Diceros bicornis minor: one gene and its partner. The protein of the gene in region 2 interacts with the protein of the main gene of each other region in a biochemical or structural test. Links are inferred from orthologs where the notes say so. Each region holds a gene or a part of one and is shown on either strand. Other genes may lie near its edges.

Region 1 (3,813 bases), on a different chromosome or scaffold from region 2:
GGTCTGCTGTTGGACGAGTTACCCTGTTTTTTGCTCTTGGCGTATTGCTGACGTTTTCTTTGGGAGAGAGATCCTACAGGTGGGGGTGCGGAGGTGCTCATAGTTTGGGCAGCCTTGGCCTGTCGAGCAGCATCGATTGCAGCTTGCCAAGACAGGACGGTCTGCTTGGAGCTATTCGGTTGAGAAGTTGGTCCTTCACCAGAAAGAGGGAGTCTGGTGCTTCTTGCATAGTTTGCCTCTGGGAAAAAGAAGAAAAAGAAAAATTAAAAGAAAAAAACAATGAGAATCCAGTGTCAGAAAAAAGCAAAAGTTGTCTCCCACTGATAGTGGGGGGAATGGTTCCCATGTTTCCACTGTAAACCTCGTGTCCTATTTTTCAGAGGCAGGGGTTTGAGCAGCAAGAAAAGTCTCTGCCCTGAGTGTCAGTCACAAACGACCACTGCTGCGGTATGCCCAGGGGGGTTAGCACCTCTCTACACCCATGTCTCCACAAGGAGTCTTTTAGTGCATTTCTTCAGACAAACTGAGGTCATTCCCACATTTATTCCACATCTTTTCTGACTTTTAAAACCCATGTATCTCTAATGAGTTAACAGATATGTACAACAGCTTTTCTCCAAAATAACTACCACCATCACACACACATACAAAAAGGCAGTGCCAATAATTCAATAGTCTTAATCATTTTCAGGCTGTTACTCCAACATCTTTCCACAGCCACAAATGCATTTTTTTCAGCATGGGAAAAAAAAATCCTCCACTGGCACCAGGGCAATATCAAAAGCCCCATAACAAATATCTAGATTATGCACTGACACTTCCTGCAAATGAAAATTCATGATACTTGGGACTCATTTCCTCCACAGGCTTCCGAAAACAGAAAACATCTTTAGGGCTTTTTTGCATTTTAAATTGCAGCCGCAGCAGCCAAGCCAGCATCCAGAGAAACAGCCCAGGCAGGCGGCCTGCACCCCTACACCTAGGACAGACACGCTGACTGATGCCAGGGGCCCTCAAGGCCTAAGTAGGAATCATCCCAATGTAGGCTGGCATCCAGGTGCACACAGGGCAGAACCCCAACGGGGCTCCATGTGTAAACCCCCTCTAGCTTTGGAACAGGCCACCACCCAGGCAGGTCTCCAGGGCACCTGCCTGGCTGCGGTCACAACCTCCTTACATAGACAGAAGTCAAAGTTAAGAGTAGTGGCGGAGGTAGAGGGAGGGGCGTTTGCTAAACCAATTCTCGCTAAGTAAAGAACAAGAGAGTCAAAGCAAGCACAGGTCGGCCTGCCCAGGAGCTTGAGAAGGGGGCCATGGGGGCGGGCAGTGAACAGTCCAGAGCCCGGGGAGGAGTCGTGCCTAGCCTTCCCTTGGGGAGCGCTCACCCAGCAAGGCTGAGAGCCCACGGGGGCTGTGGGGAGTGCCGGTGACCTCCAAACGGGGCGGGGGGGCGGGGGGGAGGTGGCTGGTCAGGAGCTGCTCCTGCCTCCCTCGACCTCGCCCGGCCAGCGTGGTAAGTGCACGTGGTGCCCGGGCTGGGGAGGGGAGCCCCACAGCGGCAGCACTCCCCGGGCATTGCTAGGTTACCGACGTGTGCACAGCGGCACTGGGAGCGGGAATACGCGCTCCACCCGACCCCCTGGCCGGCGATTCCGAGACCCGGCCTCCCTCTCGAGGGGAGCGGTGTGCTTCACCCACCGGCGCGAAGGGTGAAACCGGGCAATCCTAGAATTTTCCGGATGCCACCAGAGATCGTCTTCCTAGTCAACCAGGGGGCCGGGAGGGAGAAGAAGGCGAGTAGAGGCTGGAAAGGGGGTTTGGGCTGAAGACTAACAGCCACCTCCCCCCACACACATCGCTCGGGAGCGTTGGAGGAAAGTTGAGCCCGAGGACACTGTACCAGAATCACCTCGGCTTGCCGCCCCTCCGGCTGCACAGTACTCCACGGACACCAGGGCCGCCCCCACCCCACAAATGCAGAATTAACTCTGACATTCAAGGCCTGAAGGGGAGAACGGAGTGGCTGTCACGCATCTCCCCTTTCTATGTAGACGACACCGAGCTAGCAGCATCCTCTCCAACCCTCTCAACCCACCCAGCGCATCAGAGACGGGAGGGGGGTGGGAAGGAAGAGGGGGTGGGAAGAGGAGGACCATGACAAGGATTAGTTTGGCAGCGGGTGCCTAGGCTCTGGCTGCTCACCGTTCGCGTGGTCCGATTGCTGCCGCCGTTGATGCTGCATTTTTTTCATCATCATCATCATCATCATCCACGAACATTTATTGAGCGCCTACTGTGTGCAGGGCACTGTGCTGGGCGTTGGGGCGGGGGAGGAACGGGTAAGGGGGTTACCGATAGGTAGGAGCCGCGGTCCCTGCCCTTATTCTCGCTTCAGCAGGGGGTGGGGAGGGACGAGGGCAGATAACAGAAATTAAGAATAATTTATAAAAACCGCTCACCACCCACGCTCTCTCTTTTTCAAAAATGGAGCAAAATAAACTTTTTTTAAAAAATAAGATCAGATGTATATATTATCTTAATAATATATACATGTAATTTTTTGCTGCAAAGAAGAATTGGCTTGGTCCCTCCTCTAGTGGAGGGACGCCGCGGCGATGCGGGCCCGGCCGCCGGGGCCGCTCCGAGCGCCCCCCATGCCCGCCCGCCGCGGTGCCCGGTGCCCGGTGCCCGCCGCCCGGTGCCCGCCGCCGCTGCCGCCCGCGCCGCCGCTGGCTCGGGACCGCGGGCAGCCGGAGCTCACATCCGGGGACGGAGGCGCTCGCTCGCTCGCCTGCTCCGCGCCCGCCGCGCCGCGCCGCACGCCGGCTTCGCCCTGGCGACGCTGCGCGCCCGCCGCCGCCGTCCCCCTCCCTCCCCCCGCCCGCCCCGAGCCTCCCACGGGCCCGCCGCGCCCCAGTGGTCGGCGGCCCGGCCCGGGGCTCTCCCCGCACGGCCCGCGCGGTCGGGGTGGCCGCCGCGTGGGACTCGGGGTGCCGCCACCCCGGCCTGGCTCGGCTGACCCGCAGGCGCCAATGGGTTAAGCGCGCTCCTGCCGCCGGCCGCCCGGTTAACCCCCTCGGCGCCGCAGGGTGCTCTCCCCCCTTTCCCCCACGGAGGCGGGCGGGGCCCGCGGAGCCCGCGGATGCGGTGTGCGGATTAACCGCTCCTCCCCCTGCATGTCTTCGGGGCTGGGGGGATGGAATGCTTAGGCTCCCGCCGCCTGCCTGGGCTCTGCGCTGCGTCCTCCCTTCGGCACACCTGGAGGAGGCCCCGCCCCCTGGGAGCACAGGTGCAGGCGGGCGGTCGTCGAGGGGTTCTGCCTAGCTCCCTTACCGCTCTGTGCCGGGCAAGCGCCCCCCTTTTCCTACAGCTCTTTCTGGTTGCGGGGGGAGGAGGGGAATGGGGGAGTCCTGCTCTCTGGAGAGCGCTCAGTGCCGGGGTAACAGCACCTTCGGAGCTAACCGGGTTTCCAGAGCCTCCCCCCTCCCATCCCCGCCCATCGCTGGGTCTGGCGCTTCAGTGGGTTCTAAGACGGTTGGGAGGGGTAACATCCCTCTGTCCCTCTTCCTCTCTCTACCCCCTTCTCATCCCTTTCTCACCACCACCCCCCCACATCTGTTTGGAGGCAGGTACAGGAAAGTAAAAGCTAAGGTCTTTCAAACCGTTTGTGTTGCTTAAAGGAATAGGTAGTGCTGCTGAAGCTGCTGACTCCCGTGTGGGAGCTGAGGAGAGTAGTTTGTTTTCTGGTACCTTCATTGTCATGTTTGGGTTGAGGAGTTTTGCAAACGGAAGCTCTTGTCTAGAGGGGAAGAT
Region 2 (3,600 bases):
CCCTTGGATGGCTGGGGGTGAGAGGCTGAGATGTAGTAAGGGGGAGATGGAGGTGCCATGTGCGAGCCTGGGGCGGCAGGAGCCGGAGGCAGCGTGGTGCCTGGGAGCGGGTGGAGCCAGTGACTTCACCGAAGTGTGGCTGACAATGTGTGCAGAGGGCTGCTGGGGAATCGGTGTCCCAGGGGCACCGAGATGGGGGTGTCATGGGGCAGAGCATCATGCACGGGGTGCCCCCGAGGGAACTACAAGAGGTGGCCTCTGCAGGTTGCTCGGGGCATCTTGAGAGGGTGTGTGGCTGAGTGGGGAGGCCGGCCTGGGAGGGCTGTCCGGTGGCAGTGGTGTGGTGGCCTGGGCCAGTGTGGGGTGGCTGCTGATGACCTGTGGCCACTGCAGGGTGGGTGGAGCCCATTGCCTGGTACTGAGGGAGACGGGGGGGCTGGGAGAGAGGCTAAGAAGTGGGGTGAGGGTCTGGGGGACTGGGGTGGGAGATCATATCCAGACCCCCACTATTCTCACCCCTGGGGTGGCCTTACAAGAGTGGGTCCCAAAAGGGGTCGGCCTCCCTCATCTTCTCCCCCATTCCCACCCCAGCACCAGAAACCAGAATGTCTGGTCTGGTCCCTCCCCCCCCACACCAGGCCCGGCTCCTGCACCGTTGCCATGGAGATGGGAAGCAGTGGAGGGTACTGCTGACTTTGGGGGAGTGGGGATGGGCTGGGGGGTGGGGGGAGGGAAAACAAAATGTGTGTGTGGGGAGGAGAGTTCCAAGAGCTGTGGGCGAGCCGGCATCTAAGCACGGGCCGGCCAGCCCCTCCCCCACGAGTGACCCGGGCTTCGAAGCCCCCTCCCCCTCCAGTACCCAGCAGCGCCGCCCCACCTTGCCCGGGCGGAGACCCCGGCCTCTACCCACGCGACTCGACATCCCACCTCCGGAGCCGGGACCCCGGGGTCACTCCCCCTCGGCTGACCCTGGCTGACCCCCAGTCTCAACCGGGCACTAATGGGGTGGCCAGTGGGGATAAAAGCGAAGCTGGCCCGGGTCCCCCCGCGCGTGCGGCTGCCCCCAACCCCCAGGACCGGCTCTGACCCCTCCCCCTCAGGCCCCGAGGGAGGGAGCGGGCACACTCCGCCGGGGCGGCATGAATCAAACGCTCCACGGCTAAGAATAGCTGGCACGCAGCTGGTACCGAGACGGGCTGAGGAGTCGGCGGGGGGGGGGGGGAGAAGGGGAGAGAGGGGGTGCCCTGGGAGGCAGCGGGGGGACGGGGGGCGGCTGGCGTGGCCGCGAGCGGGGCCCGGGAGAATGAATGGAGGCGGAGAGAGGCGGGGAGGGGCGGGGAGAGGGAGCCCCGCTGGGGCCGGGGAACTGGTGGGGGAGAGCCCCGGGCCGGGGAGAGGGGGCGGGGGCACCCGGGAGCGCACTCGGGGGCGGGAACCGAGGGGGCGCGCCGGCCGGCGGGGAAGGGAGAGCAGACCGGGTGCGGAGGGGGGGAGCTTGTGAAGGGGGCGGGAAGCGGCTGGAGGCGCCTGGAAGGAGAAGCAGGAGCTAGAGGGGGTCGAAGGGGGCGAAGGAGGCCAAAGCCCAGAGCCCCCTGGAGGGGGGTGGGCACCAGGGTGACCTGGGGGAGGGGCCTCGAGAGGCGGGGCCGCAGGAGGGGTCGAGGGGCCCAGGTGGGCCAGGGCGGGCGAGGCGGGGGAGTGGCCGGGCAGGGCCAGGAGGCGGGGACAGCGACCGAGCCCTTGGCCCAGGAGCGCGGGGAGGCGGGTTGGGGCTGGGGTCTCTGCTGGCGGGCGATGGGGGGCGCATCCTCGCATCCGGTCCGCGATCTGGGACGGGGCACCGGGGACCGGGGCGTAACCCAATTTGGCGTCGCCCAGGGCAACGCTCCCCACCTCACCCCCAACCCCCACCGCACGCCCGGCCCGGGAGCCCGGCGCGCGGCCAAGGACGTCCGGGGCGCCCCCGCCCCCTCCCGCCGCCCCGGCCCCGCGGCGACCCCAAAGCCCCCGGTTCTCGGCCCCCTTACCTGCCTGGCGGGGCTGCTGAGTCCCGGTCGGCGGCGCCCGCGGCCCCTCCCCCCTCCCCCCCACCCCCCACCCCCCCGGAGACGGGGGACCCTCAGGCCATGCCCCACCGCCCCGGAGGGCGAGCGGGCCCGGGGAGGCGGCGGGCGGGGGCCGGGGGGAGGGCGGGGGGGCCGAGGACCTCACCCCCCCCGCGGGCCGGGCCTGGCCATCCGCAGAGCGCCCCCCCGTCCGCCGCGGCCGCCGCGCCCCTCCTGGCTAGCCCGCCCCCGGCTCGGTCCGGCCGGCTCCCGGCGCCGCGTCTCCGCCCGCTCTTCCTCCTCCTCTTCCTCAGGCCGCGGCCGCCGCCCGCTCCGCGCCTCCTCTGCCTCCCTTCTCGCTCCCTCGCTCTCGCCGTCTCTCCCTCACCCTGTCTCTCTCCCTCCCTCCCTCTCTCCCTCCCTCCCCTCCCTCCGCCCTCTCCCCTCCCTCCGGGAGCCGGCGGAGGAGACAGAGCCCCTCCCCGCGCCCCCAAACCTCGCCCATCCCCCCCGACTCCGGCTCCGCCCCCTCCCCCTGCCCTCCCCCCACTCCTCTCCGCCGCCAGCTCGCCGAACCCTGACTCCACCCCTGCTTGCCCCCAAACCCCGACGATGGGGCCCCGCCCCCCTGAGGGTACCCCCCCACTGCACACCCCAGGACCGCCCCTTCCCAGAGGGCTCCGCAGCCCCTCTGCACACAGCGGGGCGCAATAAATATTCGTTGCGAGACTCCACACCCCCAAATTGGATTGTGAGAGCTATAGATTCCTGTCCTGTCCCCCAGACACACACACACACACCTTCCCCCAAGGCACAGGTGCATAATCTAGCTGGTCCTGCACGTGCAGACATGCCCACACAGACACAGTCTGCAGGGCGTGACCGCCCAGACCCAACCTACCTGAGTGTACATTACCACAGACACATTCAGCTACAACAGGGACATAGCACGCCCGTGTGCCGGAGCATCCACGCAGCGCGGCACACGCGTTTACCCACCACACACACGGGCGTGAACCAGAGTGTGCATGCTCGGATCTTCAGCTCACACGCAAGCCTGAAACAGAGACACGCAACTATAGGGAGATGTATGCATGCGTCCCCCTCTCACGCACCCCCCTCGCCATCCATCGCACAGGTGTGCACGCGCCTATTTAGATGCACGGCACGGCGCCATAGCTCCCCTCCATGATAATCACAGCTGACATTTCTTGAACACTTCCTGTGTGCCAGGCTATGTTCTGGATTAACTCATCCACGTCTCACGCCAACCCTATGAGCTAGGGACTTTCACCATCCCCTTTTTCCAGAGAGGGAAACCGAGGCACAGAGAGGCTAAGTAACTTGCCCAAGGTCACCCAGCTCTAAAGACGTGGTGCCAAGGATCAGGGACAAGTCGGCTGGCTCAAAGTCTTCACACTACTCTTGTTCACTCCTGGGCACACCATAGTTGCATATTCTCGTTCATCACATGCAGACATGCCCAACCTTCTCCTCACAGCTCAGCTCACTGGTGCCCGGGACACACCCACAGAGACAGGGCAAATCCCGTAGG

Evidence for each region.
Region 1: the proteins of SHANK1 (region 2) and CACNA1D interact in a biophysical measurement, tested with the Homo sapiens proteins (2 studies listed by IntAct, with this or other methods). The link is inferred for Diceros bicornis minor from reciprocal best matches to the Homo sapiens genes SHANK1 and CACNA1D.

What each region holds. Positions count from the first base shown.
Region 1 is NC_080741.1:53,978,623-53,982,435, reverse strand, and holds the start of CACNA1D (voltage-dependent L-type calcium channel subunit alpha-1D), read right to left. Parts: upstream 2,559-3,813; 5' UTR 2,270-2,558; coding exon 2,203-2,269; intron 239-2,202; coding exon 1-238. UniProt on the Homo sapiens protein: Voltage-sensitive calcium channels (VSCC) mediate the entry of calcium ions into excitable cells and are also involved in a variety of calcium-dependent processes, including muscle contraction, hormone or neurotransmitter release, gene expression, cell motility, cell division and cell death.
Region 2 is NC_080773.1:25,832,877-25,836,476, forward strand, and holds the start of SHANK1 (SH3 and multiple ankyrin repeat domains protein 1), read right to left. Parts: upstream 2,262-3,600; 5' UTR 2,028-2,261; intron 1-2,027. UniProt on the Homo sapiens protein: Seems to be an adapter protein in the postsynaptic density (PSD) of excitatory synapses that interconnects receptors of the postsynaptic membrane including NMDA-type and metabotropic glutamate receptors via complexes with GKAP/PSD-95 and Homer, respectively, and the actin-based cytoskeleton.